4 linked regions of the Struthio camelus genome follow. The protein of the gene in region 1 purifies or fractionates together with the protein of each later gene. This does not show direct contact. Links are inferred from orthologs where the notes say so. Each region holds a gene or a part of one and is shown on either strand. Other genes may lie near its edges.

What was found.
Region 2: the proteins of LATS2 (region 1) and SAV1 purify together in Homo sapiens (affinity purification with western blotting; 4 studies listed by BioGRID, with this or other methods). This does not show direct contact. The link is inferred for Struthio camelus from reciprocal best matches to the Homo sapiens genes LATS2 and SAV1.
Region 3: the proteins of LATS2 (region 1) and MOB1A purify together in Homo sapiens (affinity purification with western blotting; 9 studies listed by BioGRID and IntAct, with this or other methods). This does not show direct contact. The link is inferred for Struthio camelus from reciprocal best matches to the Homo sapiens genes LATS2 and MOB1A.
Region 4: the proteins of LATS2 (region 1) and LIMD1 purify together in Homo sapiens (affinity purification with mass spectrometry; 3 studies listed by BioGRID and IntAct, with this or other methods). This does not show direct contact. The link is inferred for Struthio camelus from reciprocal best matches to the Homo sapiens genes LATS2 and LIMD1.

Annotation. Positions count from the first base shown.
Region 1 is NC_090942.1:203,548,259-203,556,193, reverse strand, and holds the start of LATS2 (serine/threonine-protein kinase LATS2), read right to left. Parts: upstream 3,007-7,935; 5' UTR 2,767-3,006; intron 1-2,766. UniProt on the Homo sapiens protein: Negative regulator of YAP1 in the Hippo signaling pathway that plays a pivotal role in organ size control and tumor suppression by restricting proliferation and promoting apoptosis.
Region 2 is NC_090946.1:80,908,231-80,916,128, reverse strand, and holds the start of SAV1 (protein salvador homolog 1), read right to left. Parts: upstream 3,002-7,898; 5' UTR 2,796-3,001; coding exon 2,702-2,795; intron 975-2,701; coding exon 528-974; intron 1-527. Other genes in the region: NIN (ninein), read right to left, coding at 7,598-7,807. UniProt on the Homo sapiens protein: Regulator of STK3/MST2 and STK4/MST1 in the Hippo signaling pathway which plays a pivotal role in organ size control and tumor suppression by restricting proliferation and promoting apoptosis.
Region 3 is NC_090968.1:1,088,358-1,095,865, forward strand, and holds the start of MOB1A (MOB kinase activator 1A), read right to left. Parts: upstream 3,010-7,508; 5' UTR 2,881-3,009; coding exon 2,867-2,880; intron 1-2,866. Other genes in the region: MTHFD2 (bifunctional methylenetetrahydrofolate dehydrogenase/cyclohydrolase, mitochondrial), read left to right, coding at 4,130-4,251, 6,922-7,106. UniProt on the Homo sapiens protein: Activator of LATS1/2 in the Hippo signaling pathway which plays a pivotal role in organ size control and tumor suppression by restricting proliferation and promoting apoptosis.
Region 4 is NC_090943.1:50,662,188-50,670,104, forward strand, and holds the start of LIMD1 (LIM domain-containing protein 1), read right to left. Parts: upstream 3,010-7,917; 5' UTR 2,872-3,009; coding exon 1,503-2,871; intron 1-1,502. UniProt on the Homo sapiens protein: Adapter or scaffold protein which participates in the assembly of numerous protein complexes and is involved in several cellular processes such as cell fate determination, cytoskeletal organization, repression of gene transcription, cell-cell adhesion, cell differentiation, proliferation and migration.

The sequences.
Region 1 (7,935 bases):
CATACCGTTAGAAAGCATGCCATACACCCCTTTTATGGGAAATTTCTGTAGAGTAGTAGAGCTCTACAGCAAAGCCCTATAGCATCAACCTGCTGAGACTGAGAATGTGTGTGACACAGGACACCCATATGAATTTCTTTTCCTCATGTTTAAGCGCTCTGAAGCTTATCTAAAGGATATCTGTGAGGTAGTGAGCTCTTCCACTTGCTATTCTCTAAGGGTATCCTGCAAACCTAACTCATACAGACTAAAAGCGGCACACGTGTCCACAAGCATCTTTGACAAGGTTTGTCCTTTGTTTTAAGGAAAGTGTTAAAGCTGTTCATCTGTATTTTGGTATTTCCGCAAGCAATAAATCAGCTATGTGTTCATGGCTCTCAGTGAAGATCAGGGGAACTGAAGAATCCCAAGTGCAGAATTTTGTCCACCTAGACAGGATATAGCAGCAGCTAGTACACAGCTTTAATAAAAGAATGTTTAAAAAAACGGTATCGCTAATCAATAGCATTGCAGCCTTTCTAGGAATACATCTTAACTAGCTACTAATTAAATGATACAGAGCAATTAACTGGTCTATAACCGTCTTTCCTCTCCTGACAGCAGCAAGCACCACATGGCTGGGTTTAGGGATCTGGGTTTTCTTCCTCTCTTCAGACCCTGTGCCAATGCTCAGGCCAGGGATGTGCTGGAGAAGCCTGCAATCCCCCCACATTTTTACAGCAAAGGACTGGTTTCCCACCTACACACACACTTCACATAAACAACTTTTGTGACCCTTAGCCTAAGCTTGAGTCTAATAATGCTAGGTCAGGCCAGCTGGAAGCTTCTGCAGCTTTCTTTCGGGTTTAGCAGTGTTGTAAATGTAATGCTGATTGTTTAGGCAGCATGAATGAGACCAGCAACAGCAGTTAAGTACCGCAGCTAACTGTAAATGTGTTTTATATTTTGCAGAAGGGTTTTTTAACTAAACACGTAAGAAATTGGAACATTTAGGCATTAGAGATGATTTACAGAGAAAGACAAGCTGCCTGCTTTTTAAAAATTTTCCTGTGATTTGTATTTTCAGAAAAAAATAAAGAGGCTTTTATGCTTAAAAAAAAATAGAGAGAGAGTATCTAATTCTGCCTAAGCATTTCTGACTGTACATCTGGATTTGGATAACTTCGTATCCTTCTAATCTTCACCTTGCCTACCACATGGATGTACCACCAATAGCCCTTCTGCCATCACGAGAAATGATTTTTCAGAATTGTTTTTGAGCTTCAAGCTATTCTGACTAAACAGTAGGGTTTTTTTCCCCTCCCTGAAGCACGATATACTCTGCACGAACTAGAAGCTTGACCATTACTCTTTTAAGATTCATTTCAAATAAATGTAACATTACTTTAACTACACCAAGTTAAAATGATTTTTGAATAAGTGATTTTTCTTCTTCAGTTGAGAAATACTAATAGCTGCTCTGCCAGTAAACAACCAACCACACAGAAGTGAAATGCTGAAGTCTCGTCTCAGCCCGCTAGCTATTCTCCCTCCGCTTCCTTCATTCACCAACTGGCTTCACGTGCCAGTGGCTCCGCGGAACTGGGAAACGCAAAACAAACTAAAGCTTCAGCTGCGTTTCGAGAGCAAAGTCACAAACCCCAAACTGGCAACCTGCTTCCAAGCCTATAAAACCCTGCAGGCACTGCGGTCAGGTGAACTAGCATTGCAGAAGGAAAGAATGAAGTTTGAAGAAATTGCCACAATAACCTTCTCTCTCTAAAATTAAAGCTATTGTTTTTTTTTTCTTTTTTTCTGCATTACAAACTTATGGAAAGGGGAACTGCCTGCTTTGTACTAAAAGGTCCAGGACTCACAGGGGCGGGGGGTTCCTGGCATTTCACCCCCGTACAAACCACGCTCCCCTTTGCACACCAAAAGCGGTGAGGAGAACTGGAAAAAAACAAAAAACCAAAAAAAATCCCCCAGTTTTTTCCCAAACCTCTCCTTTCCCCCTGCTAACGAAACTGCCCAAAAGTAACTCCGCGCCTGCGTCCCGGGGCAACCACGAGCCCCGGCCCAAGCCGGCGCTACGGGCGGGGGCTCGCCGGCCGCAGCGGAGCGGAGTGACCCCTCGCACCACCTGGACACTACGGGGCTGGGTGGGGGTTTTTTGCTACTGTTTGTTTTTGGCCTTTTTTTTTTTTTTGCGTCATTCGCGCAAGTGCCTTTCAGCGGGTACGCGCTTGCATCAACACACCCACCCCGCTCGGGAGCCACCTGAATTTTGGCGGCGACCTTCAGCTGCCTGGCAGCGGCCGGGGGCAGCGGCGCGGGGCTCCCCCCGGCGCTTCGGCGGCTCCAACCCGGCCGGGACACCCTCGACGGCGGGGCCGGCACCAGCAGCGCCGAGCACCCCGCTGAAACCTCCCCGCATCAGCACGGCCGCGGCCACCCGGCCCCGGCCCGGCTGCCTCCCTCGCGGTGCCGCCCGAGGCCTCCGGGCGAGGCGCTGTCACACGGCTGCCCGCTCGGGCCGCAAACACGTCGGAGGGCGCGGGCAGGGCGCCGAGGGAGGCTGCCCCGGGCACCCGCCGCAGCCAGCCGAGCCCCGGCACCGGCCCCGCCGCCGGCCGACGCGCCCGACCCTCTGGCGGCCGCTCTTTTGGCCCCTTCCAACTTTCCCCCCCCCCCCCAACAACCCCGTCCCGACGGTGACCGGCGGTGGGGGAGAAGCCCCGGGTTGGGGGGGGGGGGGGGAAGGAAGCCGCGCTTTCGCTCGCTCACCACCTCGGGGTGCCCCGCGCCGCCCGCCGGGGTAGCGGTGGTGGTGGTGGGTCCGTCAGGGAGCGGCGCGGCGGCGGGCGCCGCGGGCCCGACGGCGCGGGCCGGTCTCCATCTTCTCCCCCTCGGCCGTGGCGGGCGCCGAGTGCAGGGCACAGTTGGGACATTCGCTACATTGTTAGCATTCCATTCGCGTCACGTGACCCCGGGGCGCCCGCGTCATTCCACTCCCCCCCCCTCCCCACCGCCACCGCCCCTCCCGGCACATACCAGCGGGGGGAGGGGCTTCGAGGCGGCAGGGCGGGAAGGGCCGTTAGGGCTGTGGCGGCCCTCGGGGGGCGGGGAGGGGGGGGAAGCGGAGGGCGGAGGGGGGGGACCCCCCCTCCGCCCTCCGCTTCCCCCCCCTCCCCGCCCCCCGAGGGCCGCCCTTCCCTGCGTTTAAAGACAGCTCGTGGCGCTTTCTTCCCTCTCAACTCCCCCCTTCCCACCTCACTGCCCTCCCTCTCCCCCCCCCCCGCCATCTTCTCCCCCCCCCCCCCGCCATCTTCTTCCCCGCTGCTCCCGTCCGACGAACCGGCCCTGCCTTGCCCCAACCGCCTTCCCCCGCCCTCCCGCACCTCGGGGCCGCAGGGGTGGGAATGGCGCTGGGACGGTTTAGGAAGGGGGTGAAGAAGGTCCCCTCGGCTTAGGGGACTCCCACGACTCCTATTAACGGAGAGTTTTAAAATGAGAATTATAGTTGCTGTTATTCCTTACGTGTTCCTGCCGCTTTGTTTTTTTTTTTTTTACTGGGGGGGGGTGAGTTTAGCTCGAAATCAGTGCCTGTTTGGGATTTTTTGAGTTTTTTTCCTGGTTTGAGTTCTTTGGGGGAGGTTGTTTATTTCTACTCGGGTATTTATTGTTGTCATCACGAGGATCAAGGGTGCTGCGAGGTGCCAGAGCAGTAGTAGCGGGACAGCCAGGCAGCTCGCTTCTGGATCAAAAATTCAGTCGCAATTCGGTCGGGATTTTTGGTCGCAAAGCTTGCGTCGGACCTCGTTACGGATACAGCAGCCTGGAGCTGAGCCTGTTTTTCATGAAAGCAGGGGTGTTTTGATGTTAGAGCTCTCTTTGGTCCCTCGTAAAGACCGATTATCAACCAGAGATCGGTGTCCCTGTCTCTGTCCCCCTCAACATAGCCATGTTTCGATCCGGGAAGGAGGTTGATTCTGGCCCCTCAGTGTCACAGACCCCGACACTAGCAACAACCAGAGGATACGAATACAAATTAAGAACAATGAGAAAGTAAATATATACATAAATGTGTGTCTTCAGACCATTAACGTGGAAGAAGCCTGCAGTCCTGAAATGAAACTTGAAAATGCTTGAAATTCTGGTACAGAGCTGTGAGGAGGAACTGTGTCTGAGCCACGGCAAGAGCCGCTTGGCAGGGAAAGTTGTCGACAGTATGAGGGGAAATGTCAGTCCCGCAAGTGCTGAAGACCCACGGTCGTCTTTAATCATGTGACGAGTCCCACTGTCTTGAACAGGACTGTGGGGGTATATAAAGAAAAGTCTGCGCATAACTGTCTTTCTAGGATGGGAGCTATATTTACAGCCTCTTCAAAGCCAAGGGCACTATTTTTGTGAGTAATGTTACTCATCTACGGTCCTGTCTAAGGCTATTTCTTTAAGCTTGTTTGTCATCTTTTTTTTTTTCTTTAATTTCCATCACGCAAACTGTCAATAGTGCTTATAAATGACGCTGGTCTGGGAGGAGAGGGGGATTAATGGTAAGTGACTGCAAATAAACTGCCGTTATTTCATGAGAAAAATGCCGCCTGGTGCACAGGAATTGTTCAGTGTCTCATCTGAGGTCAGCCGCTTACTGTATATAAATTACTGTCAGAATTTCAATAGTGTCATTGACTGGAATATGTTCCAGGGGGAGGAGGAAGGAAACCTCCAACTCTAGGGAGCTAAAGAAACCCATTAGGTTCAGAGCAGATTCCAATGCTGACAGACTAGTGCAGGGTAAAGTGGCTCATTTTGCAATCCTCAAATACCTGCAGAACTGAAGTAAATTTTAAATGATATGACAGATGCGGCATGGCTTCATTTTCTGAATTACTGCTATACTTAACTGATGAAGTATAGCAACGTGATTGCCCAAACCAGGGATTGCTCAATGGCTTAAGACCTTTTCCCAATAAAGTTCAGGCTGCCTTAAAGGAACAGCATCAAGATAAAAAATGCTTACTGTGTGCTAATATGTCCTTTCTTAAGATGTGGCAGTCATCTGCATTATTAAATCTAGGTAAAAGAGATCTTTTATTTTTCTCCTTCAAACCTATTTGTTTTCCTTTTGCATACCAGTCCATCTGGAAATGAAACTCAGCTGGACTGCTTTCCCCCCCTCGGATCCAGCTCCACTTTCTGCATTCCATGTGTTGGCCAGAGCTGCTGGGTCTGGATCTGGGCAGCAGAGCCACAGGTACAAGAGAGATGGCTTGCATCTGCTCTCTAGAAAGTACCCATATTAGGCTGGTCCACCGCAGACTGGCAGCCTCTTCAGACTTTCTGCTGTTAGCCTTGAGAAACCCAAACTGTTAGAAATCATCTTCCTCAAAAATACTACAGGAATGGAAGTTGTAACATGATTCAACTTCTCCGTTAAAACATGATTAGATCTCTGTAAGTATTTGGAGATTACTGTGTACCATTCAAGTCTTTCCTCCTGACTATGTTCTACACAGTCAGATATTGCCGGAAGGAAAGATGCTACATAAAAAGAACAATACCGTTTGTCTGTATGAGCAGACTAGACCATGAGATAATAATCTACCATGAGTAAGGGGCAGTGTTTCTATCCATGGCTCTGCTCAAGTGAGTGACTCTGCTGGATCTATGATGATTATAGCATTCACCTCTTAACTTGCCTGAGCAGCTGTCTGCCCTGCTATGTGGGTACAGTGGGAGGGACCAAGGCTCCAGGGTTTCACGTTCCTTCTCTTTCCACCCACCTGAGACAGCGAGAGAAGCAGGAGCTCTGTGCAACTCACTTCCATCCCCTCACATCTAATGCAGTGAGTAGCTTTTTCCCCTCCCCGTACTCTTATATCACCATTAGCTGGGCCACAGTGTGACTCTTTCTAAACTATTATATTTTGAACCAATTACCAAATCGTGCTGCTAAAAATACTCCTAGCAACCAAATAATTGTGAAGTGGGTGGATGAACTTTTTCTTTGCACAGTACTAGTAGTCAAGAAGCTACTTTGAAACCATTCAGAAAACTTGAAAAAGAAAGATAAAGCAAGAATATCACCCACGATGTCTAATCCTCTGCCTGTCTTTTTTCATAGAGGAAACACACACACACACACACACACACACACACACACACACACACACACACACACATACATAAAAGGATTATGAACATGTGAGCATATGTGTGTATAAGCACACAAGCACACACACAAACAATTTTGCAGACAGTGACATCCTTCACTATGAGAACATGTCTAGAACAAACCACTGGTTTATGAAATGAATGATGTGCAAGGAAAGAAGACTTAGGTAAGCAAGGAAATATTCTTGTTTTAAAAACATCTATTTTGTTTACTGATACTGGGCAATTATTCTTCCCGAATCTCCAATGCAAAACCAGTTAAAAACAGGAGTTCTGATTTTCAGTTCTCCGGTGGAGTATAGGAAACTTAACCTAGGCGTGTGAATGTAACGTATGCTCAACAGTGATGTAAAGTGACACTCGTGCCAGTCAAAGTCAGGCTCGATGGTTCAGTAACTGGATGGGTGAAAATACAAATAACTAAATTCTAACTTTGATTTAGCTGTGCTTTTTATATCAGGACTATTTCTATGAGATCCATCGTGATGCTCTGTTTGGATGACAAAGGTGAAGAGAATGTAAGCACTGGTACTTTAGAACTACCTTTGATTTCAGCACAAAGCAGATGAAATAGGACAAATCTGACCTTGAAGTTGACTCCACTTTGCAGACAAAGCATGAACCCAGGCTCACTGTACTGGGAAAGGCATTTTGGAGGCTCAGGCTGCCATTATAGTCTTCACTCAGAAAGTTGAAAACACTGGATTTCCCAAGGACCCATGTTCCTATGTACTCTGCTCCCAGCCCCACACTTCTTGTCAATCATTGACTTCAGCAGGAGCCCAAGCAGCGCCTGAGAGGGCTGAAGGAACGTCGTGATTTTGTGTGGTATTTAACCAACAGAAGCCAGCTGTACTATCTGTTTGCGAAGGAACTGGCCAAGTTTTCAAGGCCCTACCGTTGGCTTGATGGTATCATATCTTTGTTCACATATAGTGCCAAATGCTTTGAGCACCACATCCAATCAATTCCAAAATTTTAGGAAATGTTTTTAGGCATTTTTAGGGGCAGCAACCCTCTGATCCTGGAGAAAATAAGAAGTGAGGAATGGAGAGCACATGAAGTCCTGGTACCAGAGGAGGACATGCAGCAACCATCAATCTGGTCTGTAATTATCTGTTCATCAAAGGCCTGGCACAGTAGCTGTCAGCATCTTCCAGCATAACAATACCCCCAGCACAGCTTTGCCCTTCCTGCCACAGACACCCAGAATGATTCATCTTCCAGACAGAAAGAAAAGGTGGGGGAGGAATGGGAGCACAGCTGAACCCTTGGCTTGGGGCAGAAAACAAGGGTCTGCACCTGGAGAGGACAAAGGTAGCTACGTAAAGCCTGCATGGGGGAAGCAAAGAGCTGAGAAAAATGAGGGACCTGTGAAGAGCCCCTTTACTGAGAGAAAAAATTAGTCGCTTTACTTCTCCAATGCTCCGGCGAACAAAGTACGAAGGAACACGCAGAGCCCCTGGTATGGAAGTGTGAGTTTGGGGCTAGCACGCTCCTGGGGTAGTAGGGGTGGGAAAGGAGCACCAGAGAGCTTGTGGAGAGGAATGAGCCATGTGTGTAGCTTGTGGAGGCTATACGCTTTCCTCCTGGCACACACCCACCCACACACACACACACGCACACGCACAAACACGCATGAGTGAAAGCATTTCAGGTCATTTTGCAACCATACAGAGACAGTGTTGTGGAGCCACCCAAGGCTTCAGAAGGGTGATACTCTGCCAGAGCATTTCATATCAATGACTGGGGGAGGGGGTGGCAGCCCGGCCCGTTGAG
Region 2 (7,898 bases), on another chromosome or scaffold:
GAATAAAATCCTTGTTTCCTAGCAATGCAAGAGTGAAAACACAATTTCCACAATATTACATGCAAATACAGATAAAGTTATCTAAATCAACAGTATGCCTCAGAATATTACTCTGTCAATAACAAGAAAAACCATCCACAACAATTCATAACCTGTTCACTCTTACTTGTTAAAGGCAACGAATCTAATAAACATTTACACAACTTTTGACAAAGCTGGTGATATCTAATATTGGTCATTAAAAAAAAACTTGCTCAAGCTTACCTCTTTTATTTTATAAATAGCCCACTGTTTGAATATATTTTTCCTTTCTCCTTAATACACGTGATCTAGCTCTTTATTCTAAGAAATGTAAACAAGTAGTAAAGTCAAACAACAGAAACATCATTAAAAAGAAGCTCCAGCCTGTACAGTATTACATTTAAAATATACGACCACGAGCATCCAGAAGCACTTCTGCAGCCACTCTCAAGAAGACAAAAGAAAAGAAAAGAAAAGAAGAGAAAGAAAAATAAATCAATACTTACCTGAAGTGTGCCTCCCATGATTCTGTGACATCCTCTGGAAAAGATCACTGTTTTGTTCATAATACCTGTAGTCCTCATGTACGCGATCATTTAACTGACGCCTCCTTTGGGCATCATAAAAATGATCATAATAATAACAACGGGCACCAGCATCTCCATTTTCCATAGCAGAATTAGCTTCTGTTAAAAAGGATTGGGAGGAAGAGCCATATTCTCTAGGGACATCAGCTAAACTTCTTGCAAGATAGGAAGGTGCCGACAGTCTGTTGCTTTCACGTCTCATTATTTCATGAGGTGGCCTCTGAACTGGAGTTCTAAGGAAACTCTGGTTTCTGGAAACAATTCCATCTCCTCCAGAAGCATATACAGAAGAACTTGAGTCAGGAGGACAGATATCAGTTCGTCTTGGAATGGTTGGACCATGACGGATAAATGAAGGCATCAGATCTGTTTCAGGATAAAACCGAAATAAGAATTTCAGCTCCACTTGCACAAAATATCTGGTTAGCTGCAACACTGATTTACGCTATGATATTCAGGAAATTCAAAAGCCAGAACCCCTTTACAGCGCCTCTAATGCAGAGGCGAGTACAGTTGTAACGCTGCAGTTTGTATTGGTACAACAAAACCCATCACGCTCTCCTCTAGCAACGGAAACAATCCCCCAAAGAGCACAGTTTTGCCAGTACAACTGCATCTGCAAAAAATAAACTAGTCACACACTTTTGCCTGTGGCTACATCAGCCAGGCTTCACACCTCTTTATCTACTAGAAACATCAAGAAAATCTAACTCTCCTGGCTACCAGTCTACCACCTTATTGGGACCGCTGTCTTTATGAACGTTGAGTAACTGAATACATCAATGCTTACATGCTTATAGGACTCCATGACAGAGCCAGGAACAAAATTTGTATATTTTCCACATATAACAAAGCTTAATCAGCAAAACGTTGTCATTTTGCACGTGTAAGTTCTCAAATTAACACGAAGATACCTCATTTTTCTCCTTTATTTAAAGGGACACAAACACTGATAACTATTCAAGCAATTTCACTGCTTCCCTCCAGTATATGATATACTCCTTGTTATTACTTTCAGCACGGCGTGAATAAGTAGTTTTCCTGCAGGTGAGCTAACACAAACTACAAGCTTCGTTTATGAGCAAGCCATGCCTATCATTTACTATTTATAAGCAAACTCTTATAAACGTATAACTTAAAGCAAAATTTCAGTGCATCGCGCAAGGTGTAATCAGTAATTTTGTAACAGTCGTTACAACGCAGTCATGTAATAGCTGGTCATTAATTCACAGCAAATAGCATAAGCGCGTAGAAGGGGTTGACCCATTAGAAACACCAAAAACCTAAAACAAAAAAGAAAGAAAGAAAGAAAGAAAAAAAGAAAAGTAGTTCTTTTTTTAAAGCCTAAGCCTGTGAGGCTGCTAAACGATTTTGCCTGTTGGTTGGGGAGCGGGTTGTTTGTGCAGCAAGGACTTCCAGAGAAGCCGAGCGCCTGCCTGCTCCTGCCTGCCGCTCAGCTGTTAGTCGCGGCCTCAAAGCTAACCTAATCCTACCATTACAGCACGATGCGCTTCAGTCTCAGTTTGTTTTCAATACTTTCTACGCGCTTCCGCTATTCTCCTGTAAAACCCTAGCAAGAAGGAAGCCGCAGCATTAACGCCAGGTTAACGGGATGAAGACTAGCGCGGCCGAGGTATGTAGGAGTGACCTCACCACGTCGGTTCACCGTTAAAACCGGAGCACTCGCTTCCGCAGGGATTTTACGCGACTGGCGTGGACAGTTACCTCATGTTCAAGGCGCACACCTTTTGGCAGCCGACACAGCCTGGCCTGGGAAAAACACTGACTTTTGGAAAGAGCTGAACTGCCCCGTTCACCTCAGGGAGATCTGTCTGCGGATGATCTTAGCCCTGGCCTCTTGAGACTGAAAAAAGTTGGGACTGAAAAGCTTAAAGAAAAAGTTTGTTTACTGTGTGGGTACGCCTCTCTCTCAGGTTTAACCTCGGTCAGGTCTCGCTACCAACGGGGCGATTTTTTTCCCCGTTTATGAGGAAAACGCCTCAAAACAGCCCCTAGGATCCGCCGGGCCGCAGGCAGGCTGCGGTGGCGAGCAAAGGGCCGCCCCCACCCCCGCCGCCGCCCCCGACACTCACTGCGAAGCAGCGGGCTCGTCTCCTTCTTCACGTACTTGCCCTGCACCTCGCCCGGCTTGGAGAGCTCCGTGCGCGTCTTCTTCCGCGACAGCATCCCACCTCCCGGCCCGCCACCGCCACCGGGGCCGCGCCCGCATGCCCGGCGCCGCCCGCCGCTCCTCAGGGCTCGGCGGCCCCCCTCAGGCGCGGCGGCCGTTGCTCGGTGCCCGCATGGCCGCGCGCCGCCGCCGCCGTCAAAGGGGAGGGGAGGGGGAGGGGCGCTCAGCGCCGCGGGGCGGCGGCGGCTCGCGCCGCCCGTTGGGCCGTGGCGGTGGGGGGGGGGGAAGGGGGCGGGGTGCGGCTGGGGTTGGGGGGGGGGGAGTCCGCGAGGAGCCGCGCGCGCACGCGCGTCGCTAACGTGCCCCGCTCGGCGGCGCCGCGCGCGCGCGCGCGCGGGCTTGTGGGAAAGCGGCCTCCGCCCTCCCGGCGCGGTGCGGGGGGGAAGCTGGTGCTGTCACCGCGCCCCCGCGCGGCGGGGAAGGGGCGCATGCGCAGCGCTGGCGGCGGAGGCGGGAAGGGCGCGCGCCGCCGCCTCCACCCCCCCCCCCAACCACCTCAGAGCCGCTCCCTCAGGGGCGGCTGCCGCCAGAGAGCCGCCCTCTGCTTGCCACAGGTATCACCTCCCTGCCCCTCGCATCAGTTACCAAACAAACATTAATTTTAGTTAAATGAAGGGAAAACTGAGTGCCTCCTGTGTTACACCCATAAAGGCAAAGAACGGGTATGCGACTGCTGTTGTTCTTAAAAAGCTGGTGCGATAGTGAACCTACCTCTTACACCGCCCACTTTTTATTTTATACTTTAAGGCAGCGAGGAACTACCGTCCTTTCTGTTACTACACTTTACTCATGTACATACTTAAGAATTTTCAGATAGCATGTGAAATACCTACAATTTCCATGGGTAGATAAATTGGATTAAACCAAAAAAACAAGCAGTGAGCATACAGAAATTTATTCTTTTTACATTCATAAATAATGTACAAGTTGTTTTACCTTTGCTTTACATGATGTTATAAGGACAGTATATTACACTGAAACAAAACAAACCTGATAAGGAAAAAAATATACAATTGTTTTTTCTTTATACACAAGTCATTTGTCAGCAATGACAGTGAGAACAGGAGACTGTAACAGGTAAAACCTGGGAGACAACACAGCACAGTTATAACAGTGATGTCATTTGTTGAAAGCAAAATAAAGGCTTTTAGTGTTCTTTGATAGAGCCAAACCATCCCCTTCTGCAGCTCACATGTAATCTGTAAATGGCTAAAATCAAATACGTTACAATCCCTTTTTCAAACAGAATTCAAATAATTTAGTTTTCTTTGAATTTAAATGAATATTTGTGAATGTGTGGCAATGTATGCTTTTATACCATTCTAAATTGACAAGTAGTACTTCAGCTGTGTAGATTTAATTCACAAAAATTTGACTCAGTCATATACTTCCTCTTCCCTCTCTCAGAAATCTCAGCCACAAACATCTATGTGCCTCTATTTTCACAGTGATTCATAAAGCAAGAGTTAAAAACATTTAAAACACCTTTTGGTAACACAGTAGTTAATATCTTAATTGTCAAGATCTGTTGCGTGAACAACGCTTAGGAATTCAATAATTTTTGACTGCATGTTATGATACTGTTAAATACTTTAGTATCTTTAAAATCCCTACACTGCATAGGAGACACTCGTGCATGGAAGATCACAAATGCTTAAGAGTTTACATGTTTATATGCTTATTTTCACTAGCTTAGACTTTGTAACACTTGCTGCTTAACTTCTGAGCTGACGTACTCAACCAATATACAACACAACACTTGTTTGTAAGCAGCGCTACCTTTGTCTGAATTCACTCCATTTGGGAAAGGATTGTCCTGAATTGTTCTGTAGCAACAGAAAGTACAGTACAGAAAGAGTCTAGAATATGTAATTATAGAAGGCACTTTTGAGAATTGACACAAATATTCTACTGAAATTGGAGTCTGTCTAAATAAAATATTTACCAAACATTCTCTTCCTCCTCCATCCTCCTCCTCCTGTTCTCTTCCGTGGTTAGTTTAGTTTTTTAAAGCTAAGTGAAAGAAAAGTAGGGCAAAAGAGCATGGGTTGAGAAAGGGAGAAGTCGAATTCCCTTTTCTCAGTTTCTCCTTACTGTTCCAGTATTATCATTGTATCTGGGCTCCCTTTTTGGCACTGTGTTTTCGAAACGTCTGTATGTTTGGTTAAAAACACCATAAGTACCAGGAGATTAAAAATTAGGTGAGTGAGTAGTCTAGCCTTTAAAATGAGTTATTTCAAAATAATTCCACAGGAGTTTAAATACATACTCATTCCCTCTGTTCAGTTTTCACACTTTGGTCACATACTGAGCCCTAGAAGTAAACCTAGGTCAAGATGTGAAATAGCTTTAAACAGTACTATCTAATAATGTTTTTCCAAGTATAATTCTGATCATCTGAACATCAGCTGCAGTGCTGCCTGGAAATATTCTTAAGCATCGCTAATTTTCTTAGCCTAGGCATGGTTTTAATATTGCTAACATACAGGCTGGGTACCTACACAGTGTTTTTTTTTCTTTTTAGTAAGTGATACTGTTTATTGATTACTATGAGAAACAAAATGTTCCTGCTTCAAAATTGAAAAAGAAGCTCCAATTTATCTCAATACAATTTTGAATTTTTAAAAGCTTTTGCGGACTGAAAAATGGGGTATGTAAATCTCAGAATTTGAGATTACTCAGAAAAACGGTCAGTACAGGTATTTAGAATAAGACAGTTATGAAATAATGTATAAAGATTATGTTACTCCAAGGTATTTTTCCATTATTGTTTTGATAAATCTTTCATTTTTTGAAAAAGATATACTCCTGTATACTCACTGTGACCTTTCAACAACAACAAATTGCACAGATTCTTCATAATTATTTTTACATGTGTCTTTATGCTCCATTCTTGCATGCAGGTGTAAGAAAAAAACCTGATATATCTTACATTCTTTTTTTAATAGGCCTTATATTGCTTGCATAAAGGAAGGGAAGAGGAAGGGGGAAGGAGAAGAGGAGGTCATACTCCATATGTATATTTCAGTCCCTTAACCCTCCAATTAGCAGGTAACTGTTTAGACATAGATAGCATCCCCTAGAGCCACACACTAATCAGTACCAAATGACCAATTTTCTGCAGGTGACTCAACAGCTCATAGGCAGTCTTATCCCAGTTTCTAGGGGGCAGCTGGCTCATTACAAATGCTGTCATAATTGTCACCTTGCACTAGTGGTTTCAGAGACAAAGCATTTTACCCTCTTCCTCTGCATACACTATTTATGCAGAATATATTTAAAGAGGACCAGTTTCAAGTAAGGCCAATATGGCTCCTTTCACCAGTTTTATTTACACTGTTTAAAAATCTCTTACTGCCCTGACAGGGGCAAGGAGCCCGTATAGGGAACGACAGCATCTTTATTTAGACTGCAGCAATGGGTTATACAAGCGTACAAGCTCTCATTCAGCTGTTTATGTCAGACCTATCTCAAATCTTGAAGCTGTTCCCAGAAAATTTGTATTCCCTAGCCTCATAAATTGGTCTGATAGGAGATACTACTTGTCGTTACAAAACCTTGCTGCTCCTTGACCATCATGACTACACCATTAGTGCGTGTTTGTCTAGGAGTATCATCAGGTAATATTCAACCAAATACAATTTGGTTTATCCTGCTTTTCCTAACGCATGTTTATTTTCATCTACTGACATTAATATCCATGTTTGTAATAGTGCAGGAAACTAGTTGAGGCTGTTATTCCCTGAGTTTTTCATATTCACCTTGAATGTGTTTCCTCACAATTAATTACAAACTTAGATTCTGTATTAGCATCTATTGGAAACAACAGGCCTTATTCAAATGATCACTCAAGTCAAACAGAACACTGCATGAACGGCAGAGGTCCCGCTCTGGCAGCCCTAATGACAGGATTCCACTGAAGAAATCATTTAGGTCTCCCTCTTCATTCTTCTGTGAGTTGTTTATTAAACATACTCCACTGCTTTAATGAGTTTACAAGTTGTATAAACACAACTCATGTCTTCACTTCTGTTTGGTGATTCTTCCATTGTTTAGTGTAACTTATTTCCACACACAGAAAATTTAAGGCCTCTACAGTTTTAAGTTGTCTGGCAGTGCAGCTTGAAAAAAAAAATAGTAATCTTTCATTTACCAGCTGGGAAGTTTCTTCAGATGAAATGCTGTCATGTTTAGTTGGAGGCAGTAGTCTATGTACATATTTTTAAGAAAACACTTTTTCTGAGCTCTGCTGAGGAACAGCCATGATGAACCAGAAGCCTAATGCATGAGGTGCAGCATATTGCTTTAGAGAAAGCAGAATTAGTTTGCAGGATATGGACAGCATCAAGGAAGTCTGGCTTTCAGTAACAATTATGCTGACAGTGCTCAAGACTGATCTATCAATATTACTAGGTTTGAACCATGAAGTAGCCTAGATAGCCAGAAATATTTTTTCAGTTTTGAATTCATTAAGTTTGCTTTAGACCCTGGCTTCAATCTAGATTGGTACAGTAAATTCAGAATGTATATTTTAAAATAAAAAAGTATCAGAATAAGTTAACCCGTCTTTTTTTTTTTTTTTAATACATATTGAACACTAGTTTTAGTCAAAATTTAGGAGAAAAATAGTTTGGGAATAAACAGAAATTGGCAGTGTCCTGTTTAGGATTTAGCTCTGCCATCTCCTTGGAGGAGTTTTTAACGAAAAATCCATCAGTTCAAAAAGGCAAAACAGTGAAGAGCTGAAATATTAACATTTCAGTAAAGTGCATGGGACTGTGGCATACTTACGGCTTTGCTATGACCTTAACTCAGATGCTGAATTAAAAGAGGGGGATGCCAGGTTCTTTACTATTTTATTGAGGTTAGCAATCTTTTCTTCTAATAAATAGTTTTTCTTTTCAGCAGTTTTCTGCCGCTGTTCTGTCATCTCCAAAGCCTTCAGCAGTTGTGCATTCTCAACATAGAGATCCTTGACCATTGCATCTGCTTTAGTATTCTTCGAAAGCTGAATTGTGAGTAAAATGTGAGGCAAATGACGGTAGGCGACACGTTAGTCTTGTGGCAAGTGAGAACTGCTTATAGCATATATCACCTAG
Region 3 (7,508 bases), on another chromosome or scaffold:
CGTTAGTCACTCAGTGGAAACACGCTTATCTGGCACACGCAGCTCAGCATCGCTGGCACCCTGCCTCAAAGTCGCACGCAACTGGACGCGCTTGGCTCACACGTGCCTCGTGCAAGCTTCTTGATGCAACGCTACCGCGGGACTGACAGCACTTCAGCGGAGCGCAGAGTGGGTGAAGCTATCTGTTTGGTGCAGAAATAAAGGGCCTTCACACCCAACTCGCTCTAAACCAAGCTACTGCCTCCTGCTACGCTACAGTAGATGCAGACCCAGCATGTAATTGACCCTGCACAAAGGCTCCCCAGCCCCTTCTCGCGCCACAGGTCACCAACTCCTTCTCACACGCGGCACCCAAGAGCTAGGAGCTACAAACATGCATACCTGTAACACCCTACCCTCTGTAGCTCATCAAAGACACATTTAAAACATCAAAGTCAAGCAGTCTCTCTGTTTGCACGCACTTCCTCCAAATCATTTGCCACAGCTCAACTTCAGCCCACGTATCAGAACAGGCATGTCCTGCCCCATCAACCCAGAGAGCCTCAGCCCGCCTGGCATACTCCTGCCTGTCCTACGGCATGTCTCCTAGCTTGCCGACACCACGCTCTCATATCCAGACATCGGTCCTCTGCACCAGTGGCCAGCTCCAGCCTGCTAGGCTATCACCTCCCCACCCCAAACAAACATATAAGATACACCAAAGTCTGCCAGCTTAATGCCTTTCCCAACTGCAATCAGGCTGCCCCACATCCCATCAGCACAGCCCCTCGTGCAAATACGGACACTGAGGGCACAAGCCCTTTCCGCTGCAGCAGCTCTTTTCCACACGCATACAGCAAGGCCCACCCAAATCCCACCCAGAAGGAAGCCCCACAGAGCAAGGGCCTCCCCTCCTCTTTTCTGCCTCATCCCACTCTTTCCATGCTCGGAATCACCACCTTGAACCGCTCCTCCACACGCTGGAAAACCCTCTCCCACGTCCCATGGCCTCCACCCATCCATCCCAAGGGCTTCCCCAAGAGACAGGCCCTACTCCAGTCACCCCAGGGCTTCTCCTTCCCCTCTCGCAAGCCTTCCGCCACAGCACGTCACCCCATTTGCCCCAAAGGCCCTCCCCATGCACAAATTCCTAGAGCCTCCCACTACTGGGAATCATCCCTGCAGACACTCAGCAATTACAACCCTGATGCAGCCCCCCCCCCCTATCTGCAGGGCCTCATCTCTCCCCTGTAAGACCAATCCCCTCAAATTCTCCCCAAGAGGGAGGGACTAGTCCTTGCAATACACCCCCTTTCCAGGGCCTCCCTCACCACAAAGGCTCCTCCCCCCATAGGCTGGCAGGGTATTCACCCTACTTGGGTGCTCCCCAGGGCTGCCTGCCTCACCCACCGCCCCAAAGTCAGCTCCCTTCCCCAGCCTATCCCAGGACTTTGGCTCTAGGAGACACCCTCTGCCACAGCCTTCCAGCCTGAAACTGGGAGCTGGTCTTAGAAGTAGGTGCAAAAACATATACGCTGCCAGGGCCTCCTCTGGCTTCCTCCATAGGACTGCACTCTTCCCCACCACCCCTAGAGCCTTTCCCAAAGCCTTCCTCAACCCCCTCACCTTCCATCCCCACGGTCTCCCCATAAGGCCTTCCTCAGCCCCCCTCCTTATACCCGCAAAGCCTCCACCTCGAGGTCTCCCTTCAGCGCTTTCTCCTCCATACATCCCCAAGGCCTCCCCGCCAAACACCCAAACCCTTCCTCCAGCCCCCCACTAACCCTCGAGTCTTCTGCCCAAAACATTTCTCAAGGCCCTCACATGCACCCAGAACTTCCTCCTAATGCCTTCCTTAAAAACTCTCTATACGCTGCTACGGCCTTGCCTCGAGGCCCTTGTACACACACAGGGCTGCCCCCTAAACCCTCTCTGAAGGCCCCTCCCCTGCATTGCCAGGGCCTCCCCACAAGGCCTTCCTCCAGCCCCTGTCTCATTTCTAGGGCCTCCCCCTCCCCAACACCCCACATCTCACCACAAGGCCTCTCAGAGACTCCCCCCGCACCCCCAGGGCCTCCCCTCACTCCCCGAGGCCTCTCAGAGAACCCCCCCGCGCACCCCCACGGCCTCCCCTCACCCCCCGAGGCCTCTCAGAGACCCCCCCGCGCACCCCCAGGGCCTCCTCTCACCCCCCGAGGCCTCTCAGAGACCCCCCCCCGCACCCCCAGGGCCTCCTCTCACCCCCCGAGGCCTCTCAGAGACCCCCCCCCGCACCCCCAGGGCCTCCTCTCACCCCCCGAGGCCTCTCAGAGAACCCCCCCGCGCACCCCTACGGCCTCCCCTCACCCCCCGAGGCCTCTCAGAGAACCCCCCCGCGCACCCCCACGGCCTCCCCTCACCCCCCGAGGCCTCTCAGAGACCCCCCCGCGCACCCCCACGGCCTCCCCTCACCCCCCGAGGCCTCTCAGAGACCCCCCCCCGCACCCCCAGGGCCTCCTCTCACCCCCCGAGGCCTCTCAGAGAACCCCCCCGCGCACCCCCACGGCCTCCCCTCACCCCCCGAGGCCTCTCAGAGACCCCCCCGCGCACCCCCACGGCCTCCCCTCACCCCCCGAGGCCTCTCAGAGACCCCCCCCCGCACCCCCAGGGCCTCCTCTCACCCCCCGAGGCCTCTCAGAGACCCCCCCCGCGCACCCCTACGGCCTCCCCTCACCCCCCGAGGCCTCTCAGAGACCCCCCCCGCGCACCCCCAGGGCCTCCCCTCACCCCCCGAGGCCTCTCAGAGACCCCCCCCGCGCACCCCCACGGCCTCCCCTCACCCCCCGAGGCCTCTCAGAGACCCCCCCCCGCGCACCCCCACGGCCTCCCCCGCGGCCCCGGCACTCACAAGAGGAAGCTCATGGCGAGGCGCCGGGCCGGGCCGGGCCGGGCTGAGGCGAGGCGGCGCCGCCGGCTGCAGGCGCGCGGGCCCCAGCTGCTGGCGGGCCGCGCCCGGCCGCTCGTCCCTACTCTCGCGAGAGCACCGCGAGACTGAGCGGGGGTTGGGGAGGGGGGAGCGCCGCGGCAGGGGGCGGGGCCTCGACGCCGGAGGTGGGGGGGGGTGGAGCCCTCACCATGGCAACCGCCCCGCCCGGACAGTGGCGCTTGCAGGACCCTATGGGGCCAGGCCTCCCCATGGGCCTTAGAGCCCTGTACGGGCCCGGGATGCCCGTATGGGGCTAGGCCCCCCTGTGGGGCTAGGATCCCCAATATGGGGCTAGGACCCCCCCATATAGGACTAGGCCCCCTGTACGGGCTTAGGACCTCCCCTATGGGCCTAGAACCCCTGTCTGAGGCCCTCCATATAGGACTAGGCTCCCCTATGGGCTTGGCCCCCCCCATGGGACTAGGCCACTCCTATAAGCTTGGGACCCCCATATAGGACTGAGCTCCCGTACGGGCTGGGTTATGCTCCTGTGTGGGCCTGGGGCTCCCCTATAGGACTGGGACCCCCCCCCATCTAGGAGTGAAGCCCACTATGGGTCTGCAGCTCCCACAGGGTCCTGGGACCCCCGATAGGAGACTGGGCTGCCCATGCATCTGGGTCCCCCTATGGGTCTAGGACCCCCCCCAAAGGCTTGGGCAGCCCTATAGGACTGAGACCCCCCACCATGGTCTTGGGGCCCCGCCCAAAAGCCTCCCCCCCCCCCCGCCATGGGCCTGGGCAACCCCACAGCCTTGCGGGCCACTGAAGCGCCCCTCTGCCAGCCCGTGGCTTACGCAACCCCCAGCCCCTATTGCAAACTCCCTCCCCGCCTCCGGCCCAGCCAATCAGCGCCGCCGTGCCCATCTACGGAGCACAAGCCCCGCCCGCCACCACCAATCAAACACGGCCGGCTCCTCTCGCCCGGCCCACCCCGTCCCCCCAGCACCTCTCTCCCTCGGACCCAATCGCAGCGGAAGAGCCCGGGCTCCGTCCCGCCCCCTCCCTCGCCGCCGCCAATCATCTCTCACCTTCTCCTCGCCGCTCGCCTCGCCGCGGCGATTGGCTGCCGCCGGCCGCGGGGCCGACGGCGGCGCTATATAAAGCCATCCTCGGCTCGGCGGGGGTCCTCGCGCATCCCTTGTGGCGTGTCCCTTGTCGCCTGCCGTCGTCGCGCCGGGGAGAGCCATGGCAACCGCGCTGGGCCCGCTCCGCGCCCTGGGCCGCGCCGCGCAGGGCTCCGGTGGCGGCGGCGGCGGCCGCCTCCACCTGCTGCCGCGGAGCCGCCGTCTGCACCTCACGGCGCCCAGGTAGGCGGCAGGGAGCGCCCCACAGGGGCGGGGGGCTTATTTAGGGATGGGAGGGGCTTATCGGCTGGGAGGCGGGGCTTACCGGCGGCGGGGGGGGGGGGGGGCGGTGGCACCGGGCCCGGTTTCCCCCCCCCCCCTTCCTCCCGCCGTCGCCACGCCGGTTGCGGTACCGGCGCGGGGGCCCGGTGTGGGTTGAGGGGTGGGGGGGGGGGGAAGGTCCAGCCCGCTGCCCCCCACCAGGGCTGCGAGAGCCCCCCCGTCCCCGGGCCGCCGGTACCGGGAATGAATGAGGCAGGGCCCCCAGCGGCCGCCCCGGGAGGTGCAGGCTGATGAAATCCCACTCCTGCCTTGCGTGTGGAGCCCGGGCTGCTCCCCTGCCCCGGGGCAGCCTCCACCCCCCCCCCCCCCCCGAGAGGAGCCCCCCAGGGCAGCGGGGCCCTCCCGACCTTACTGGCAGCACTGGGCAGTGCCGAGGCCTCGCTATCTCTGGGCCAGGAGGAGCCCCCCGTGCAGTGCTGCCCCCCTTGCGGAGGGCTCGGGGCCTCCTCAGGGCAGGAGGAGCACTGATCCCTGTTTTCAGTGGTGCCAGGGGACTGGAGGGACCCTCTTAGTGTGTCCCCTCAGTGCCCCTGACTGCTATGACTTTGTGCAAGAAACCCAAACGAATTTACTTTCTCCTTCTCTTTAGCTATCACCTGAGCAGTAATACACCGCGAGGCTAAAACAGCTTGCCCCAATGCCATAAAAACCCCCTTTGGGAGAGCGGCTGCTTCCACTTTGAATTTTTTTGCTGTTTCATGCTTTGAGTTCTTACTTTGTCAACCTCGGACTTCCCGACAGACCTCAAAGCTGGTGAGCCTCAGGCTGGCGCCTGATGTGTCTCCCTTTCCCCTCTTGGCCAAGGCTGGCACCCCTAGCCTCTAGGGTTATGCAGCCAGGATATTCTGGTAAATTCTTGTTTCAATTTGTCTTTGGACTGGTAAAGTAAGTGTTGGAAGTGGGGCTGAAAGCTTGATTTTTGAACTTGCCTTTTGTGCTGATAGTAGCTTGCCAGGTGCCTGTAGTAATTCCTTTTGCTTAGTGCAGGTTTAGCTCTGAAGCTAAAACAAGCTTTAAAAAGGCTCAGCAGGCTAAGCTAGTCCGAGATGGATTTTTCTCAGTGGTTACTGCTAGCTAGATCTGACTTGGATGATTCCCTTTAGCAATGAGCTATGATTCAGTAATGGGAAAGCTACCTATATGAATAGCTCTGGGATTAAGAAGAAGCAAAAGATCCCCTACACCTCCGACAAAGCATTTTGGCAATAAGGCTTTCTCACCTGGGTTGGTACCTTCTGCGAGTTGAGTAGCTTCTGAGGCTTGTGTAGCTGTGAAGCGCTTTGCGGGGCGACTGCTTCAGAAACTGGCTGGTTCTTGTGATTCAGGAAGGTGCCGAAAGTGTCCCTCGCGTGATGCTGCGTGGAGCATCTTTGCCTGCTTCGAGTGAGGGGACTAACTGAGGGTCCTGTCTTGGCCAGTGAAAATCATCCAGCAAGTGAGCAAGGAGCTTGTAGCGAGGCCTTGCATGAAAGCAAGGCTCAAATGCTGTAGCTGAGTCCAGAAGTGACACTTGGGAAGGTGAATCCCGTCACAGAGGAACTAGTGAATGAGCATGACTTTCAGATTGAAGTGAGAACCTGAAGAAAAAGGAAAGCAAACAGTTAGTATATAGCCAGCTGGCAGTGAGGCCTGGCAGCCGTGTCCTCAGCTGTATTTTGAGCAAGCCTTTATGTACTGCAGGGTATCCAGTTGCCTGGAATGTACTTGGCAAGAACCATATATATTCCTGTTACCAATTTAGCCTAGAAATGCTTGCAAGGAGCTGTTCCTGTGTGGTTCAAACAGCAGGCAAATGTGTCCTCCCTACTCTGGCAGAAAGTTGGCGTCTTAAAGCCTTGCAGGGGGTAAAACCAAGTATCCTCAGTATGGCTTTACCTGTCTGAAAAGACTACTGCAACGGTGGAAGCCCCCCTTTAAAAAGGGAGGGCACAAGACTGGTGTGTGCAAGGTACGTGCTGTGCTAGGTGGGCTGAGATCCTTGTCAAGGGATTTGTGGGAGATGGGGATCTCTGGCAACAGCGCTGTGTGCAGAAGTACAGTGTGCAGCACCTCCTGTGCTGTGTCAAACAAGCTAGTTACTCAATAGACCTCTCTAGTGGAAACTCCACTTGGTGGAATGAGTTCTGCTTTACGCAAGTCCTTTGTAGTGAAGCTGTCGTGCCTTTGAAAGGGACGGATGACTGACCTTCTAAAAAAGGAAACTAGTAGTATCTGACTTGATGTGCTGGACAAGAGTCTGGACTCTTGCCCTTCCAGAGAAGAGTAGTCTGCGGGCTTTCTGAGGTTGCACAATGAGTTGGTCCTTGCAACAGTTTTACTGTTGTCCGGTATCAAGGTTTCAGGCAGCAAAGCTGTAAACTAGAAGATTGAAATGTGCTGCTTACCTGGTGTTTTCTGCAAATCATGTCTTGCACTACAGTTGCAGCAGACCTGTGTGTGTGGCTGAAGTGAAAGGGCTGTTTCTGTAATGCCTTGTGGTGGGCACCTGTTTCCTGGGTGGTTGTTGCCCAAAGCTAGAATTTGATGCTCCTAACAGTGCTGACTGCTTCATTAACACTCTGTTTATTGCAGCAATGATGCAGTTGTAATTTCTGGAAGGAAGCTGGCCCGGCAGATCAGACAGGAAGCCCGTCATGAGGTGGAACAGTGGGTAGCGGCTGGAAACAAGAGACCTCACCTCAGTGTTGTTCTTGTTGGTGAAAATCCTGCAAGCCACTCCTATGTACTGAACAAAACCAAAGCAGCTGCTGACGTAGGTAGGTCTTGTACTCTGCTGTTCTCCAAAAATGGAGCAAGTGACTGTTTAATATCTTGCTTTAGTTGGGAGCCCTCTATGCTGGGGGGAAGCTTTCAGGATGCGGCTATCTGGCAGCTTTTCACCAGTCTGGGGTTTACCCCAGCAGTTGCTGTTACTTTTTGGCTGCTTTCATAGTAATACTGGGGTGTAGTTAATGTGAAAATGCAACATCAAGCTATGTATTGTGAATTGGCAGGCCTCTCGGGTCCACACAGGACAGCCTGCAGGGAACTTTGAGCAGTTGAAAGAAGGCAAAAATCAAAATGCAGTTGACATCCAGTGCACTCCTGCTACTTTGTTGTGACTCCTTCCAGTCTTGCAAGCCAAGATCCTGTTCCTTAGGCTGCCTGAGGTGTCCTAA
Region 4 (7,917 bases), on another chromosome or scaffold:
CCCTCCCCAAACTCATGTTCCTAATCAGCTCCTTTTCAAAAGAGTGCAGCATCTCTTGGGCTGAGGTTCTCTGAGCTCATTCAAGCTGCATGCTCCCTGCGTAGTACATAAAGCATCAAACCACATTCCCAGGCTGAAATGATCCAAATAAAGCAACTTCTCAGGTCACTGTTCAGCAGTAAGTAAAACCGTATCTGCCCTGTTACAAGGCTAAATTCAATCTCAAATGTTAAGCTAAGTAATCACAGCAAAGCCATCTGCAGGGGAATATCACAACTACAGAGGCGGTCGGAAACATATTTTACTACGGAATTTGCAACTAATTACTTAGAGGTCCCTTCAACTACATTAGTGAAGCATAATGTAAAGTTCAAGGCAGCAGCAGTTTCTAAGGGTCACTGGTGTATGTGCAGACCACCGCTGGCTTACTTGGCAATCACAGCAGACAGGAAGCAAAGGGACTATATGCAATGGGACCTATGCAGTCTGAGATGCAAACAGTTTCTCTACCTTAGGCTGAAGAGCTTAATCTATTCCTGCTTCTAGTTTTGTGACTACAGATCTAAAATCATGAGGAAAACATATACTAGACCTGCTCCTGCCATTATTTAAATTAACAGCGGAATTCTCATCCTTCCTAGCAAAAGCAACACCAGGTTTCCTTTTCCCGGAAAACTGAACGGCTGAACTATCTCCGCTGCTGTTACAGTACAAAGTGGCCACGAGAGACAAGGAAAGAAAACACCCCATTCGCCATCGACTTTTTGCCATTCTGTGACACTAAATCAGTTAAAGCCAGCAGGGCATTTAATTTTCTCATTCAGATATCCTCCCACGTAAGCAGGCACTTTTCATCATAAATTACCAGCGTTAACATCTGGTGCTGGTCAGGATTACTTGCGGACCTGAGATTTAGAGCGGAGCGTATCTATTGCCTGTTTTCTGGAAGTATTCAGGATCCACTCACCCGCTCAGGCTTGACGGGAACTGACTCTTGGGGTGGGGGGAGAAAATCCACGTCAGTTTGAAAAAAGAACAACCTTTACATCCTCAGTCAACACCTTTTTAAGAAAATTCACAACCGCACATGGTTAGGTCCTCAGAACCTACTCAAGCTGCAATTTCTATGCAAGTCACAGAACCCTGGTCACGACAGCATTTTCATTACACCTGCCACATGTGGAATGTGCCGTATGTTCAACTACGACAGGCTCTGGGGCGTTTCCTGTCAAGCGAAGTCCACCACAGCTTCCTCTGAGCTGAACCGCGCTCTCCAGTCCGTAGGTCCTTATGTAGGGTTTGACACCATCCAATTCTTCAGCAGTCTAGAAAGCCATCTTCCTATTCAAATATCTTGAATAAAAACATGCGAGTAACTGAAAAAGGATAACCAAATAAAAGTACCAGGGAAACGCAGCCCTGAAGGTGTGAATCCTGCAATACATAGTCATGAACCATACTCATAACAATTTTTAATTACACCTTTCTGCAATGACACTTACCAAAGTAATCGGCCTTTGGACGAGCATCCATCTCCTGCTCCAGACGCTGGGTGAGTGCTTCTAATTTTAATTCAGCGGCAGACGGCCCTTGCTCCTGTGGTGGAAGGAGGGTCTGGCAGGGTAGTTTTACTTTCGTCGCCCCGGAGTTTTCCTGGTGTCCAGAGTCAGACTGCAGAGTGCTTAGGCCCTCTCTGAAAGGTGTCTTGGGAGCATCCAAAGTCACTGGCCCGCGTGAAGCCGCGTTGGAGGTGCTCTGCTGAGGGTTTGCACCACTGCTGTTGGGCCTGTGATTTTGCCCGTGGGCGACAAAGTGGCCGGCGGCACTGGGATAAGCGCTGGCTTGCTGATAGTCCACGCTTGGGGGCACAGGCACTGGGGCTGAGCCAGGAGAAAAGGATGGAGGACTGTCGTGGTACCACCGCTGGCCACCATCCCTAGTTTTGTCTGTGGCTGGGATATCCACTCCGGCACTCGGGCCACGCGGGTCGGAGAGGCCTGAAAAGCCCGGGGCGGGTGGCGTGGATGGGGCTGAGAAGGATGATGACCGCTGCTGAGGGAGACCCACTTGCACCCCCTCCTCAAACCCGGCAGAGGAGGCCAGGGGGCCTCGCGTGTGCGAGAAGGAGGAGGACCTCTGCCCCGCTGGTTTGTGCTCTTGGCCCTGGCCGCTCCTCTGGCCTTCATTCCTGTTTTCCCAGCTCCCCTCTGAAGACCGGTGCTGGTGCAGCCGGGGCTCACCGTGGGCTTTCGTGGGGCTCCGGAGCACCTGATCGCTGGGACTGATGTTTGGCCGCCAATTCCCCACAGCAGGTCTGGGCACGGCAAACCCGTCTGGATCCCCGTCCCAGCCCTGGAGCGCAGCCGGGCTCCCTGGGGCAGGGCAGCCCCCAAAAGAGGCAGGTGGGGAGGGCCTGGGGGTTACCCCGTGGCACCCGTGTGCCCCCGGGACGCTCTCCCCGCAGCCGTACCCAGCCGGGTTTGTGGGCTGGCTGGGGAAAGCCAAAGGGTGCGGGGGGCCGGCCGCAGCGCAGGCCAGGGGCGGCTTGGCCACGCTGCCTCCCGCCTGGGCCCGGCCGCCCTGTTGCCCACCCCGGGGCCCCGGCACGCTCGGCCGCGGGGCACCGAAACCGGCCCCGCCGTTGAGGGAGCCCGAGGCGGCCATCAGCAGCTCCTCTTGCTGCTGCTGCTGCTGTTGCTGGAGGTGGATTTTGGCCATTTTAGTGGCAAAAACCCGCCTGGTCTCCTCAAACTCGGGGTTGTTGCCGGGGGCTCTGTCCACCCGAAAGAGACCGTCTTTGGAGGCTTCGTACATGTTGAGGTCTTCGATGAACTTGCTGGCCTCCAGGCCCAGGTCGTCGTACTTATCCATGGCCGCCGGCTGGTGCGTGCCTCCCTGCCGTCCCCAAACGCCAGGCCGATGCCCGCCCGCCCGGCAGGGCCCTCACGCCTGCCACAGCATTGCCGCGGGCTCCTGGCCCAGGGGGAGACCGGGGGGGGGGGGAGGGAGAAAAGGAAGAAAAAATAAAACCAGAGGAAGAGAAAGCAGCAGCTGCTGTGCGCCGTCGGGGCCGGGATCAGGAGCGGCGGCGGTAAGTTCCCCTCTCCCCTCGGCCGGCGGAGGCGGCTCCGCACGTGGCGCCGCAACGGGCACAGGCGGCACCTGGCGCCCGGGCCGCGCCCGGGACCGGGGCTGGGGCTGGGGCCGGGCACCCCCCGCCCGCACCGGCAGCGCCGCCGGGGCCTAACGCGGCGCCGGGGTCGTGGCGGACTTACCGGGCGGTGCTCAGCGGCCAGGCGCCCCGCTCCGTGCCGGGCCGGGCCGGGCCGTGCCGTGCCGTGCCGCCGCGCCGTCCCAGGCGGTGGCGGCGGCGGGGCCGGGGGCGGAGGCGGAGGCGGAGCCCGGCGGCGGCAGCGCCTTCGCCGCCCTGCGACGTGTTGGCGGCGGGGCCGGCGGGAGGCGCTGCGCGGCGCGGCGCGCGGCGGCCGTTGGGGCGGCCGTTGGGGCGGCCGTTGGGTGGGGCGGCGCACCCGGGCCCTGGCGGGCAGGGGGCAAAACCCACCCCCCCCCCCCCATCACAAAAGCGTCGTGTTTGAGGTTAAACCTTTTTTCACCCCCCCCCCCCGCCCGAGATTGCTTTCTGATAATAGCCTGCACTCGGTATTACTGTTCGTGGAGGCCTCAACAGGGCCGGGACAGTGCGGTGAGGGAGGGATGGCAGGAATCATATAAAGGGTAAAAAGCAGGAGAGATAATTTTGAGAGGGGATGGGGTGGGGGTGGGGGGGTGTGGCGGCCAAACAGGCGTTGGGGGGAGTGGGGGAGCGGCCAGCTGCACTTCTGACGCCCTCCCATAAGGTGCACGGAGCGGGTGCGCGCTTCAACTCAGCAGCAGGTATGTGTAAAAATAAAGAGACCTATAAAATAGACAGCGCGTCCAAACGTAGAGATTGAAAGGCAGGCAGCGGGCACGCAGGGTGTTTTGTTTCGGTAGCGGCGGCGGTGTGCCCGCCCGGGCAAATAGCACAGCCGAATTTAAACAGAACCGGGGTCATGTTACGACCGCAAAAGTCGTAATTTGCCCAAAAGGCAGGAACTGGCTCTGGTGACGCAAGCGAGGACGAGGTTTTGTTTCGTCTCCTCCGAACAACGCTGCCCAGCTACTGAGCGACGTTAATTGCTATTCTTGCACCATGTTCCTCTGAGTAATCACCTGCCTCTAGTTCTGTACCAGAGACGATCAAGTCGGGGGGGGGGGGTTCGCCTCTTAGGGAAATAGTTGAGGTTCTTGGTGAGAAAGTTGTAGGAGCGTGAACGCAGGCTCAGCCGCCCTGATTTCTGCACGTGCGGAAGGCGTTGAAATGCAGACCGAGGCTGAAGCTGTGAAAAGCTAGCCGCGCTCCCGTGCAAGACCTGCCAGGGTGCTCGGTGGTGCAGTGCCGCAGGCAGAAACGTCTCGGTTTCTGGCTCCTGCTTTATGGGGTCGCTGTAGGACTCCAGAGAGAGGCAAGGGCTGGAGGGAGCTGCAGTGCTTTTTACTAAAGCAACTGGTAGAGTTGATCACACAGGCCCAGACATGTGTTCTCAAGATTTTTTTTTTTTTTTCCAATTCTCCCTCAGGGTTCAGGAGATACGGCCAGATGTTAAGGAATGTGCAAATTTGTTCCCTTTAATAATCACGAATTGGGCTGTGACCAAAAAGTGTCAGAAATAAAAAATCCCCTCCCTATTTTAACAGTTCCCTTACAGAAACACTGCTTAGCAACTGAGACAGTTTGCCAGATCTGAAATAGTACAACTGTTCCAGCAAGTTTCAGCCTAACGTGTTTAAAAAGTGCAGCATTATAAACCCTTGCAAAAGGTGCATATCTTCTATAAAAGAATTCACAGGCTCCAAACAAGAGTTAGATCTTATTTCTATGACCGCCAGATGCTTGAATTTGAGCTCTGATAACCTTTAGACTTGCAAAAGTTGATTCAAACATAAAAACGATAAGAGATTTTATTGTTTCTCAGGAGGAGTACGGTGCCGAGGCAGACTGCTGGGGCACAGCGGGTCCGGTCCGGCAGTCCGATACGCGGCTGAAACGCAGCGTAGCCCCGCTGATGCCGGGAGGTGGCTGGTTTTGGACCCCAGAAGGGGTTGCCACCAGCCCGTAAACACCAGCGTGCTGCAAGTTACTCAGTGTGGGAACTTTGGGGCCTGCCAAGTTTTAAAGTGATCTACAAAGCTGGCGTTTTCATATAGAGAAAATAATCCTGTCCATCAAACCTTTTTAAAACTGGGTCCTCCGTGGGGGCGGGGGAGGGAAGGAAGGTGAAGCGCGGGGCTTACTCAGGCCGAGCGGAACAAAGCCTCGTTTTGCTTTTGAAGAATCTGGGTGCCTCGAGGCTAAACCCCGCTTTGCGCAAGCCGCGACAGCTCGGGAGGCGTTTCGCTCATGTCTGGACATCTGTCCTGCAAACACAGAGCTCCCTGCTCCCCCTCCCCTCCCGGTCGGTGGATATGCGCAGGAGGATTTCACTTAAAAGCCAAAAAGGGGGAAAAAAAAAGTTGCCTGTCTCCTTTTTCTGAAGAAAAGTATAGCAAGGGACTGGATTCAATAAACCGAAAGGTGCCTTCCGGTGTTATGTTCCCTTCTGGAAAAGACAGCACCGAAAATGTGAACTGATAAAATCTGTCACTAAGCATCGAAAGAATGAGGAGTCGGATCTCTTGAGAGCGATGTTTTTCACGGGATGCAATTGTGTCACATAGAATAGCTGACGAGGAACAGGGGAAAACTGCCTTACCAGAAACGCTAATGAATATGTCAGGGAAAAAAAAAAAACCCTATCAACGTGTGGCCTAATCCTTTATTCCTATCATCTCTGCTAAAGGCTGCGTTGTGCTTTGGCCACGTTCCCCATAGCAACCGTGGGAGCCTTTTTGGCTGCGAGGGAGAGGGCTCGCCTTGTGTTTCGACCCTGGCGGGCCAGGCGGGTGGAAATCACACGTCTGCATTGCCTGAGGACGAATGACTCTTCCTCCTACCCGGGGGAGAGGGGAGCAGGTCGGGTGCACTTTCGCCTCTGCATTGCGCAGAGCCGCTATGGCAAGCGGGGGGCTCCCGGTACCGGGGGCAACTCAGACGCCGGTATTTGTTTGTTTTCTGCTTGCATTTGCCTTGCTTTCTGTTTGCGTTTGCCGGCCGGCCAGCCAGCCGGGGGTTTCCTCCTGCACACTTCAGACACACGAGTTAGCACCGTGCAGGTGCAGGCTTGAGCCCACAACTGCCTAGGAAAGTAACTCTTTTGAGGGACTTAGTCAAATCTGCCTGAGCCTGAGCTCAATTAGGGCAGCTAAAACCTAAACTGAGTTTCAGGATCTAACCGGCTTCCTTTTAACAGGCCGAGGCAATGCAGGTTTTAAAAATGGGGACTGCCCAGTGCAGAGGAGCCACGCGAGCAGCAGAGGCAGCCGCTTGTGCGAAGAGACCATAGGGGCGGGCACGAGAACCTGCAGCGTCTCTTGCCCTTCATGGTAGAGAAACCTCAAACAAAGAGCAGTGTTGGGTTTGCTTCCCTTATTTGGCTTCAGCGAATGAAAAATTTCAAACACAACCAAGAAGATGTCTCTCAGGGCAGGGCTTGTTTCTGCCAGGAGAAGGGAGCTAAAATGACTGGAAACCTGAGCCCGGAGTGGCTCACTTTGGCACGTGGCACCCTCCCTCAGCTCAGGCTTTGCATCGAGTTTGGATCGCTTTATGATGGTAAATTCTTCTTGTCCTCAGGGCTGGGCTGGGAAAGGAGATTTAAATAATCCAATAACTGAGTGTCAAAGAGGATAATTTCACAGATTCTCAAAGCAGCTTCTCCCAGAAGAGCTTGCTGAATTTGCCTTTTCACCATTTGGGGTCAGGAAGGCAATTCCTAATTGTGATATCTGTGGTCAAGGAACGAGGTCAGACACAAGACTTGGATGAGACTGTCAACAACATTTTACCGTGGGCTCCAGGGCTGTCCGGGTGCAAAGCTGCAAATTCCCAGGTTCCAGAGCTATCAATCCAAGCAAACAATTCAGGAGTTCAATACTTTTTCCTTCCTGCTCCTGGGATGTCACACTGGCTTCAAAGTGCTTTTGGAAATGAAGTTAGAAGCAATCTTAAGGGCCACTGCTAAAAACAAGCGCCAGCAGCAACGTGAGTATTACATGGAGTGGGGGTATGTGAATGTTGCACTGCTTACATTCAAAATGGGGAGAGTCCAATGTTAAAATTAAGACCCACAAAGGTGGTACTGAACAACAGATTCACTGAATCCATATGTGTGTGTACTGAGAGAATTGCAAAAAGCAACCAGAACAGGTAAATAGGGTAGAAGCATAAATCCCACTGCTTCACCCACAGGAGGAATCTGTGATATAAGCAGGACAAAGAGCCATCAAAAAGGAAGTTACACCTCACTCTCGTACCTTTTCCCTTCTCCTCTCACCAAAGGATGTGAAGTCAAGGCAAGCTCCTATCCAGCGTACCAGAGACTTAACTAATATCTATTGTTTTTTTTTTTTTCTGCAAACATACCAAGATGAGGTTCTTCAGATCTCTAGGAAACAAACGCTTTGGTGGGACAGAAATATTTTGGAATAGATGTATCTATTTTCAGCTTTCAAAAACAAAACAAGGAAGAATCTGTGACTTCGCTCAGATCATTGCCTTTTCTGACTTTCTTTTTTAAGGGTCATACATACATTTTCTGCTGGTACTTTTTATCTGTAATCTAACATCTGTAAGTTGATTTACAATTGGACCTGCAGGAGCTCTCCATCTCTGGAGGAAGCAGCGTTCTTGCTGAATTTATGCTCTGACACTGCTGACCTTCACCAGCTATGTAAAGTACATTTCCTTCCTATGCCAAAGGATAAAATCAGCTGTGTGAA